Arabidopsis thaliana: one gene and its partner. The protein of the gene in region 1 purifies or fractionates together with the protein of each later gene. This does not show direct contact. Each region holds a gene or a part of one and is shown in the gene's direction. Other genes may lie near its edges.

Region 1 (7,855 bases):
TAACTCGACCGTTGTAGACCCACAGAAAAAACAGCTAGAGCGGCTATATTCACCAACACAATAAATGTGCCAGGCAAGAAACAAAGTGAGCCATCAAATTCAAATTTAAACAAGTCTGAGTTTGGACCAACGTCTTCTCCTTGAGAGGGTCCAGACCCTAATGCTGACTTGGTCCCAGCCACAGTCTTTTTAGTGATTATGAACACCGTTTCCGAGATGCCAAGAAGCTTGAGTGTGATATCAAAGATGCTAAATAACCAACTACTAGTGGCTACTATTCTCCAAACTGATTGGGAGACTAGCCACGATTGTACGGAATAACCAAGGCTCATAAATTCCCATAGAGTATAGAGACAATGTATCCCAACAAGTGTGACAGTTATGCCTAAATAAAGTCCCTACATACACACACACAAATAATAATAATAAAACATTAAAAATTTCCTTCAAAATTAATTTTATGAAAGTAAATTGAACTTCATTTAAACCAAAACAGAACTTTAAACCTTATTATGAGTGTCAGAGAGAGAGTCACCTTGGGGAATAAGGTAGAGTTGTGGAGTAGGCAATAAGCAGGAAGGAGACAATAAATAAGCTCAGGGATTGACCTTAGACAGGTGATAATGCAAAGATAAGCTAATCGTTGTCGGAATCTTATTTTCTTGCTAAACAATCCTCGCAACGGACTTTGCTTGTTGAAAAGGATTTCGATCCATCCTGTCGCCCATCGACGCTGCTGGAGTAACGCCTCGGGTACTCCTGCCGGCATAGATCCAAGAAATGCAGGTGTATCCGGAGAAATGTATGAGCTAGTCCAACCTCTCGAATGTATTCCGATACTCGTGTTTAAATCTTCCGCCACTGAATCATATAACCAGCCGATCTGCATAACTTTCAATATTATAGAATTTTTCGAAACAATATAATATTATTTGGTTAAACTGAAAAGTGAATTATACGGTGTTTCCCCAGCTGGTTTGGTACTCGTACTGACAATGTCCCACTTCTCGAGCCGCTTCTATGGAGTTTGTAAGTATATTTTGTGGATTTGGATTTCTTTGTATTGCATCAACCACTGATTTCATCATCTCTTTAGAATTACCAAATCTTCTCGCTAAACTATCCTTAACCAAAAACTCCCCTTGATAGCAACAGCAAGGGTCAATAAAAAAATGTTTTAAATAACGCTTTGAAGATTTTTATGAAAGACTTACTTGTAGCAACTGAAGAAAGACTTCCATCAACTTCGAAATCGTCTGGAGATAAACCATACATAACTCTTCTCGTGTGGACGCATCCTGATCCTATATATATCGGTCCTTGGATTCCCGCGATTCCTCGTCCCAAATGCTAAATTTAGCAAAGAAAACGACATATCATAAATAACAATGTATTGATTAGAATTATAGATAAACAAAATTTAAAAGAAGAAATCACACTGATTGTAGGACGACTATTAGCTCGGTGCTTGAATCATAGAATTCTTGACGGAATTGAACAAAAGCACAATGTTTCATATTTAATGATTCTTGCAGAAGTATACACATTGCTTGTCGGACTACATCTGCATCATTGGCATACATGTCGCAATCCACGTTCAAGATGTATGGTGCGTTTGTCATCAACCCTGACACTCTTGCCTGTTCAAATTCATCATATCATATGCTTATCACATTTTCGGTACAACAAAAAAAAAAAATACACTATATAAGATGTGAAACTTCAGAAAAAAATAAGAAGAAAAAGAGAGAGATGTGTAAGAAAATTCATTAACCAGAAAGTTCATGGCTCCACATTTTTGATTATGAACATAATTTGGTCTTTTCTCTCTTGATATGTATATGATATGAGGGATCTCTTTCTCGTCTCCTACACCTCCCTTGTTCTCCCATACCACCTTCACATATATACACATAAAACAATTAACGTGTGCGTATATAACTATAGTTAGAAACTTGATTGTTTTTACTTAAGGAATTTTTTTTAAATACCTTAACTAGAGTTGAATGATCATTTGGTTTTGTGTTTGAGAATGCTTCAAAATCATCTTCTACATCCAACATATGAGAATCTCCGGTGGCATCTTCCACTTTCCGCCTCAACTTCTCGTACTCCCTCTTTGTATTTACACAAAAAGAAAACATCAAGAAATTTCTCAATACATAAGATGAAAGACTAAGAACAAATCTTCAGATCATGTGCAACTTTATTAGGTATCTCAATTGTTTCAAAACAAGAATTTAATCTGTAAATAAGCACAATAATATTATTTGTAAACATAAAAATGTCATACACCTAAAAAATAATCAAACCCTTTTTACCTTCGTCTTTTCCCAGTCTCTATTGAATTCATAATCCTCTGTTGCGACGCTTATAGGTTTCAGAAAATATCTAGAAGGAGCTCTAACTCTAGTGTTGTACTTTTTGCAGAACGGTACCCAAATCTTGGCGAACTTAGAAGCTTCCTTGAGAGAGAAATAAGTGAGAGGTGAGCATCCATCGTCCGACACATAACAAGCTAGTTTATTTGCCGGATAATTTACAGCTAACAGCGAAAGCACGGTGTCCACAACCATAATCGGTGGCTCTCGAACCGGATCTGCTGTGGGCACGAACATATCCACCGAAGGAAGGTCATGAACCCTGAAATTACAATATTTTATATGCCAGGTTAATGAATTACGTAAAAGATAACATAGAAATGAATATTATCTTGATGATTAAACTAAGGCTAGGTAGCAAACTAGCTCAGACTTTATACAAAGTTAATAACAATAATGATTGTATATATGCTAAAAATAATATTTGTATATATGATTTATGTGTAAAACGAAAATGATACCTTTCATCAAGTCTATCAGGAAAGGGTTTAGTATCAGCAGGACTCCATTTTAGGCAAGTAATAAGCAGACATACCAAGAAGAAACAAGATTCACAAAAGAAAGCCACGAGCCAAACGTTGTCGTATTCGCTCGTATGTCGGATTCGGTGCAAGAGAAGAGAAAAGAAAAGGCCTAGAACCGTGAGATATACAGCTCTTAGAAAATAGTTCGTGTATGAGATCCTTTCACAAAGAGGAGGAAGAGAAAAGCTTGAATCCGCCATGGGAGGAGCTTTCTTGCAGTTTTTGGATATGTTTTCGAACTTCACATCGATGAATGCTTCATGCTTGTATATAAATACGCATGTGGGAAACTCCTAATTAATGTGCTAAGAGTTAATGATGATTCCCTATAAGCAGGGAAGCTTCACCTTCGTGAAGATCACGAGAACAAGAAACCTAAAAAGTCAAAGTCTTACTTGTTTCTTGTGGAAGAAGTAACGTAAGACATTGATGTTCATGTTTTAAAGCAATGAAATTAGTTACACGCATTTATTTGATAATTAATAATAATTTTAAAGTAATTTATATCATTCTTATTATATTATCAAGTAGTGATTTAGCTTGATTATAAATTCCAATAAGTGAAAGCAGAAATTGTCTGTCTATCTAGGATTTTAATTTAATCAGTTTATCATTATAATGAATCATGTATGAAATAAAACCTGATGACGTTATTTTCTCTTTAACACATTGATGGGCTGATATTGGGCCTTAAACTGTCTCATCTTATTCGAAACCCAACCCACATTAGGGTCTCTGATAAACCACCCAATCTCCCCCATCTGTGCTTTTTTTCCCCAATCTTCATAAGTCATAAGAAAAATCTCAGCAATTGTCAAAATTTTCCAGCAATCGAGAGAGCAGCACAAGAGAGCATAGAAGGACCGATTGGGGATTAGTTAGCGTGAAAGGAGATCCTAGTAGCAGCTATGGATAGAGAATGGGGTTCCAAGCCTGGTAGTGGCGGCGCCGCCTCCGGCCAAAACGAGGCCATAGATCGCCGTGAGCGTCTCCGTCGTCTTGCTCTTGAAACCATAGACCTTGCTAAAGATCCGTATTTCATGCGAAATCATCTTGGAAGGTATGTTACTGTATTTATGTATGCTTTGTTGCACGAGTAAGTAGCAGATTCAATTGTTGGATGATCAACCTGAGATTTATGAATACTGTGATTTTACCAACTTCATCTACATTTTTGCTCCGTTTTGAGTTTGATTATTCATATGTGTGATAGCTCTTGAGTTTGTTTGGCTGTTGTTTCTAGAATTAGGTTCTTTTTTTTAATTTTCCCCTCATGCCACTAATTTGATTTTTGGTGTGTTTTTATGTTGTGCAGCTATGAGTGTAAACTATGTCTAACACTGCATAACAATGAAGGAAACTACTTGGCACATACTCAAGGTAAGAGGCATCAGACAAACTTGGCAAAGAGAGCTGCTCGAGAGGCTAAGGATGCTCCTACTAAGCCGCAGCCACTCAAGCGCAATGTCTCAGTTCGCAGAACAGGTAATAAGTTGTTTTATTTTCTATAATTATAATACAGCTTTATTCCCATTGTTGATATCAAATCTGCCTAGGCCTGGAATTGGATATAATGGGAAAGTGATTGTCTAGAAGTAATAGCAAAATTGTATATCTTTGCTATTGAGTACATAGATTTTACTTAATTGATTGCTTTAAAGGGTTTATTAATAACTCCATTTTATGTATGGTCTTGCAGTTAAAATTGGTAGACCAGGGTACCGGGTTACAAAACAGTATGATCCCGAGCTGCAACAAAGATCTCTTCTGTTCCAGGTAAGCATCTAATTGTTATTGTTGAACTTCAATGATCATCATTAGAGACTTAGCCAGAGTAAAATCTCACTGTGTCTGTTTACTCCTCAAACAATGTTTTACAGATTGAATATCCTGAGATAGAGGACAACATAAAGCCAAGACATCGTTTCATGTCATCTTATGAGCAGGTGAGTGTTACAACTCCTTGTCTATGTATCTCATAAACTCTTTCTTTTCCTTCATACTGAATAGTTTTCTTCCTTTTTTTTTGTGTGCAGAAAGTTCAACCTTATGACAAGAGCTATCAATACCTTCTATTTGCAGCCGAACCATATGAAATCATAGCTTTCAAGGTATGTGTTTTTTTTTTCTTTTATTCGTGACATTTACATTCTACAAGTCATCTGGGATTATAGCTCTAGTAGCCCAACATATCTTGGTCGAATTGTTTACTGATATTGATGGTTGTGTTTTCGCATTGGTTTCAGGTTCCTAGCACAGAGGTTGATAAATCAACCCCAAAGTTTTTCTCTCACTGGGATCCAGACTCCAAGATGTTTACAGTAAGTGCTTCTCATCATAATTCTCATAAAGCCATAAGCTTAGTTTCTTTTCCGAGATTGGATAAGTTTTGTGTTTGGATTAATCAAAATACTGACAAAGAATGTAATAAAACAGCTGCAGGTGTATTTCAAGCCTACCAAGCCAGAACCAAACAAGCCTCAGTCAGCTGTTGGAGCAAATGGTCTTCCACCGCCACCACCACCCCCGCCTCATCAAGCTCAACCGCCACCACCACCTCCATCTGGTTTATTCCCACCGCCACCACCTCCAATGGCTAACAATGGTTTTAGGCCCATGCCACCAGCTGGAGGTTTCGGACATCCTAACATGTGAAAGAGAATCCAGCGAAGCAGTTTAAAAACACAGTACTCTGATCATGGTTTACTAAGAGAGACTTGCTCTTTGACTGAAAAACAAATCTGTTTTGACATGGATTCTCAAAGCTGTGATCTCTACGGATGTATTAGCTCTCTAGATACCTTCTTTGAGTTTCTTCTATCTGCTTCTCGTATGTACCATTTTGACAAGATTGTTTTCCGTTAATAGTACAATTAGCGTTGGCGAAACAAAATTCATTTGTTATATATCGGTTAACTCTTAACCAAGTCTTAACCCAATCTATCAGTCCTATGACCGGCCATGGATATTTCATATTTAAATTATTTCTAACGATGATCAAAGTGGAGTATACCACGTCACTCACCTTTCGACGGGGGTAATCATGTATTTACACATTCTCATCAGTGTCTCTGAAATTCAAAAGGGTAAAGAAGAGGGAAAATCAAAATATTAAAATCCCTAATTCCCAAATTATTTTGAATTTTCTCGGATCCACAAAGCTCCGGTGAACCCAACAAACGCATTTTCTCTCATTGAGTTTATACAAGCGGAGAAGTTCTGTCATGGATGAATCCTTAACTCCAAACCCTAAGCAAAAGCCAGCTTCAACGACGACTCGAATCCAGGCTCCGACGAGTCCCTTCTTCTTGGGATCTAACGATGACAGATTGGAACGGGAACAAGCTCGAGCCGCAAGAGCCGCTGCTAGCCGTCGTAGGTCTGTCATTTTCGCTCGTGGGTCTCAGCCTGAGACGGAGTCTGATCCTTGTTTCGACAAACAGCAAATTCTCGAGTTGTTTCAGAACTGTATCAAATTAGCCAGTGAAAACGTAAGCAACTACTTTCTTCTGTCTTTTTTTCCCCCATAATTATAGCAAGTGAAAAAGGAAAATTCGTGGCTAAAAGTCCTTGTCTTTGACCTTGGTCTTGGGTAAATATGCTTCTGATGAGATTTACAAGTAGCTTTTTAATCACTATAATCTTTGTTTAGCTTTGCAATTTAATTTATGTTATGTGGGTTTTGTGTTAAACAGAAAATCAATCAAAAGAATACATGGGAGTTGAATTTGATCGACCATCTTTGTGAGATTATCAAAGTTGAAGATGAGAACAATACAGAAACAAATTTTCAAAAGGTAAGCTTTCGATTTCATTCTTCTTTGGCTTTTTTAAAATGCTGTTAAGACGTTTGAGAATACACAAAAACATAAAACTGAAAGGAAAAACAAGAGTTCAGAATCATATTTAAGACATATGTGTTCGTCCAAGTCAGGCAAGTTGCACTCTTGAAGCTGGAGTTAAGATTTACTCAATGCGGGTAGACTCTGTTCATTCAGAGGCATACAAGGTCTTGGGTGGAATTACCCGAGCTGGCCATGATGACGGTGGAGGTTAGATTAATAACCTTACACACAAGAAACTATCTTATCTTTAGTACTTGGTTATAACTGTCAGGGTAAACTTCAACAGACAACATGTAGCTTTATCTATTTGTGGAGATATTTATTCACTCATTTTTGTTAATATGGTTTGCCAAACTAGTCTTGAAACTCATTAGGTAAACAGATGAATACTTTTCTTATTGTTTTGACTTCTACACGAGAATTTAAAATCTCTGAAGAGGGCTATGCAATGCATTGAATTTCTTTCTTTAGCTCTAATTTCTAACGTAGGTACTAAAGTAAAAAAAGTTCTTATATTCTTTTCTGATATTTCTTTCATGAACTAGATCACGAGGATGCTGCTGGTGCCGTAGAAAATGCAACTAACCAAAAGAAGCAGCCAGAGAAAAAGGTAGTTCATACACAAAATCTAATTCTGGATTTAATAGATGAGACTATTTACTGATGTGTTTCGAACTTTCAGATATCGCCTTTATCAACACTGGAACCTTCCTTTGATGCCCTTAACGTGAAGAAATTTGATGGTATTTGCTTAACTTAACGTAACTCCCTTTGTTCGTTTGTGAAAGTAAGTTATGTACGACAATAATTTATCTTTCTTTTTTCTTTCCAGTGGCATTTGCAGTGGATCCCCTTTATCATCAGACTTCAGCACAGTTTGATGAAGGTGGAGCAAAGGGCCTGCTGCTAAACAATTTAGGAGTCTATGGAGGGTGTCAAGTTCTATTTGATTCACAAGAAATCCCTGGAAAGCTTGTTTCGTCTGCAAATAAGCATGACAAATCAGAAACAATTGATCTATCCTTTGTTAAAGGTCTGGCTTTACTGGCTGATATGCCTCGCTCTACCATTGTACATGTTTTATTGCATTATGCTTTCTCTGATG
Region 2 (4,070 bases), on another chromosome or scaffold:
TTGCCCGTGGTTTGCTTATTCAGGTAATCTAAGTTCTTGGCATGAAGCTATAGTTTATGGTTTGTGAAACTCTAATTACATCAGAATTTTTCTATCTTCCAGGTCCAAAAGCTTAAACTGGATATAGAAACGTAAGTTCATTAATTCAGTAGCTCTCAGTTAACTAGAGTAGATCTCTTACTCATTTTGTATAAAACTGAATAATCTTCTTCTGCAGAGCGATGCTTGAACTGGATCAGATACTCCGTGCAAATGAAATAAACTTTGCCATTCTGGCTGCATTACCTGCATTCTTTCTCAGCATTGTTATGCTTACAGTGCTTCGGACCTGGCTTAAAAAGGTAAGGAGTGATAATAAAAGGAAAACCAAATGTGACAGAAATAGATATATTTGATCCATTTTTTATAGTTTAAGACTAACTGTGTACAGTTAATGCAGCTCTGTTATCTTTATTCAGTTTCATTTCATTGGTATGAATCAGGATAGCAAAGCTCAAGGACGAGGAAGAATTGCTCGTATTCACAGGAGACTACTTGTCGTTGAAATTGAAAAGAGAATTATGCAGTATCAGAGCTACATTGAACAAGGACGTGTATGATATCCACTATTCTCCTTTTCCCCCTTTATCTTAAATCATTATTATTTTGCAAATGGGTTCTGTAAGAATCCTGTGAAAACGTTTCTGGTCGTTTCTTGATGCTGTTAACAGGATAAGGACGCAGAAACTGTATTTGGTTTGCTAATATACAGCCTTGAACGTTTGTACCGAGTTGTTGAGAAACCTGCAAGAGCAACCGACGAGTGGGATTTGTAAGTTTTTACTCTGATCCCATCAATTAGCTGAAAACAATTAATTAAACTGAGGCTGCGCCATCAGCTTTCAGTTTACCACAAGTCCTTTATTTGTTAAAGTGGTTATATGTGTGCTTGAACTGACTGATGTGTTTTTTTAATAACAGAGTGAAACAAGATCTGATCGAGTTAGGAAGGCCACAGCAGCAAACATCATACAAGCTAACAGTGACACAACGACTAGTAACGGTTTATGACTGCTTGCTTCCCACTCTGAAGCGACAATAACTCATCTCGGTTTCTTAATCTACTTTATGAAATCCCAATTGTATTCAATCATTCCTCCAAAAATGCTTGCTTGAGGGCCACTTTTGGTACTAAGCCAAAACCTTTTTTTCCTTGAAATGGTATAACAAGGCTACACATAGAAGATAGTTTTGAAATTCATGATCTATGTTGCAATTTAAGATATCAAAACCTATTTTGTGGTCTTTTTTTTTGTTAAAAGGCATTCAATTAAAAGAGGTAATAATACAAGCTAAGCTATGACATTTACGTCATACAGTTTGAGTAGAGAGAGAGTTAAGCAGTAGCTTAATCTATACTTTTAGAAGCTAACAGAGAGAGTAGTGAAAGATAAAAAGAGAAAGTGTAGATTGTCAAGAAGATTCTCAATTTTGTGGTCTTGTATGCTTTGGCTTCAATATTCTCTAACCAATTTCGGTCTCATCCCATATCATATACGGAGTCGAGATGAGATATTTTATGTCGAGTCTATAACAAATAAAATCAACTTGTGCCAAGATAAAACTCTACAAATGCTAACTTTTGGCTTTGGCAGGCAGGGTGTTGGTAGAATCAGAGAGTTGTGAGTTTGGGTTTCTAAACAAGGCAATCTAACCGGATATAGACCAAATGTCTTGTATTTTGTCTGTGATGGGTTGGACTTAAACTCAATTTATTAAAATGTGGTTTATTTATATATAGATATGCCTTTTCGTTATGTTTGGTTGATCATTCTATAAATGGTGGGTACACTCTCGCCGGATACGCCGGACACTCAATTTATATCCTTGTGTTACAAGCTTCAGATTGTCGAAGTCGTTCGTTCTCCGCTTTTCTCGACCTCACGTCCCGGTGGTTCTCGCGGTAGGGCTATGCGTTCCCGGTTGAGGTACGTTGCCTTCTTATCTCTCACCGAAACCTTAAGTAGTCATTAGCGTCGCCAGTTCCTCTTCTTTTTCCTGTCGATCTCTTTCTCCGCGTTATTATAGCTGCCTTGTTGGTGGAGATTGCATAAGCCAATAATTTTAGGTCAAATGAAATTCGGAGAATCTGATTTTGATGTTTCATATGATTTGATATTCATGGTGTTTTTTCAGAATTTATCTACGAATCTGACTTTAATGTTTATTATATATATATATATATATATTCCTGTAAAAAAAAATGTCCACTCCTTGCAGAATGATTTGCAGTTGGAGAAAGACAATTCAAATGAAGCTCCGGCTGAACCACCTCGAGAGATGAGAATTCATATGGATAAAATAGCACGTGTGGTTGCCCGGAAAGGGTTGAGGATAGAGAGAAAGATCATGAACGTTAGTTAGATTCCCTCTAAATTCGACTTTCTGAAGAAGTCAGATCCTTATCACGCATATTACAAGCACAAGGTTAGTGAATACCTTGCTAAGAATCAAGATGAAGGAGCTCAGGAACCTGAAGCTCCAGCTACCCTTAAAGGTGATGCACAACACTATCGCCGGCCTTTTCTTTTAAGCGATCCGGCTCCCAAGTTCCCAGATTATGTTCTCCCTGAAGGATATACTATAGAGGATGTTGATACTATTTTTCTCACAGCGCAGATTGTGGGTCGGTACGGGGAGGAATTTTGGTTGGATTTGATCAAGGAAGTGGATAACAAACCTCAGTTTGAGTTTTTGAAGCCAGCTGACAGCAAGTTCGATTATTTCAATCGGCTTTCTGTTGTGGCTTCGGAAGGACTAAAGCGATCCGAAAAGCTGACTAGTTCTCGTATGGCGATTGTTAGTAAGGCTTTTTTCTACCATCTTCGTCGTCAAAATGAAAAGCGGGAGTTGACCCACAAGGAGGGAGCGGCAAAGGCTTGTACTCTGTTTGGTGCTTTGTATGCTTTTGTGGGTCCTGATGGCTGCTTTGCTGACATCAAGGACGAAGATTTGCCACTACTTCAACACCCTTCAGCGATCAAGAACATACTAACAAAGCTGCAGCCTCGTATGCCTCCGCTTGGGGGGGAATCTGAGGAACCAGAGTTTGACGAGTCTGTCCTTGTTCCAGAAGACCAGTTTCTTGCTCAACATCCGGTTATTTTTTCCCCTCTGACTTGACTCTGTACTCTGTATCTAATTAGGAGTAACATACATTTGCAGGGTTCCTCAACGATCATGGTTTCTGTTCCAGACCCCGATGATTGGAAAGTCGTTAAGATCACAGTGCAGTCGCTATCGGAAAACGTGGCAAGTTTGAAGGAGAAAATATCTGGCGAGATCCAATTTCCTACAAACAAACAGAAGTTACGTGGAAAAGCCGGATTCTTAAAGGACAACACGTCGCTTGCACATTACAACGTGGGAGCAGGTGAAATCTTAACACTGTCTTGGTGGTGAGAACGCAGGGAAAAGCTTTTCAATCAGAGTTACATTGAACAAGGACGTGTTATTAGATATTCTAAATACTCTTACTCTCGCTTAAGATTTACGTGTTTGAGGGATACTCTAGAGTTTTTGGTACCAAACCTTATTTGTTTCCTTGAGATGGTAAAACAAAGTTTTACTTCAAAGATAGTTTTGAAATTCATGAAATTTGCTGCGATTTAACCAATTTCTGTCTCGTCCCATGTGTGGTGAGTCGAGATGAGATATTTTTATGTCTAAGGCTAAAACAAATAAAATAACCTTGTGCCAATATAAACCCTGTCGAAATTTCGTTTGTTTTTGTTTTGTTTTGTTTTCGTGAAACTGAATAGTCAAGTTTCCATTTTCATACTCAAATGAATAAATAATGGAGATGTAGGGAAACTGTATATACATGGTTAAAGTATGAAGTGATATCAAATGCTTTTTCTAGGACAACTGTTAATATTGCATAAAATAGCAAACAAACAAATGCTCTTCTCTTCAACTTTATCTCAAAATATCTGTTGAACAATCATGTAGTAAAGATCATAATAACATTTTCACATTTAATAAAATCATCCATGATATTTTCATGTCTATAAAGAGCATCCTTAATCCAT

The links. The genes of interacting proteins can lie anywhere in the genome.
Region 2: the proteins of AT2G32600 (region 1) and AT5G12280 fractionate together in Arabidopsis thaliana (co-fractionation; one large-scale study listed by BioGRID). This does not show direct contact.

Annotation. Positions count from the first base shown.
Region 1 is NC_003071.7:13,831,484-13,839,338, reverse strand, and holds AT2G32600 (hydroxyproline-rich glycoprotein family protein), read left to right. Parts: upstream 1-3,580; 5' UTR 3,581-3,813; coding exon 3,814-3,965; intron 3,966-4,220; coding exon 4,221-4,390; intron 4,391-4,604; coding exon 4,605-4,681; intron 4,682-4,785; coding exon 4,786-4,851; intron 4,852-4,941; coding exon 4,942-5,016; intron 5,017-5,151; coding exon 5,152-5,226; intron 5,227-5,341; coding exon 5,342-5,560; 3' UTR 5,561-5,794; downstream 5,795-7,855. Other genes in the region: CSLB01 (cellulose synthase-like B1), read right to left, coding at 1-398, 536-883, 960-1,141, 1,215-1,350, 1,440-1,640, 1,775-1,897, 1,992-2,117, 2,322-2,643 and 1 more; EMB2795 (condensin complex subunit), read left to right, coding at 6,130-6,396, 6,601-6,702, 6,840-6,957, 7,296-7,360, 7,433-7,493, 7,583-7,783.
Region 2 is NC_003076.8:3,971,385-3,975,454, reverse strand, and holds AT5G12280 (SWAP (Suppressor-of-White-APricot)/surp RNA-binding domain-containing protein), read left to right. Parts: upstream 1-1,818; coding exon 1,819-1,967; intron 1,968-2,084; coding exon 2,085-2,163; intron 2,164-2,259; exon of another isoform or gene 2,260-2,271; coding exon 2,272-2,394; exon of another isoform or gene 2,395-2,466; coding exon 2,467-3,138; coding exon of another isoform or gene 3,139-3,162; exon of another isoform or gene 3,163-3,204; coding exon 3,205-3,441; downstream 3,442-4,070. Other genes in the region: DGS1 (dgd1 suppressor 1), read left to right, coding at 1-23, 103-131, 218-341, 483-593, 711-811, 961-1,081.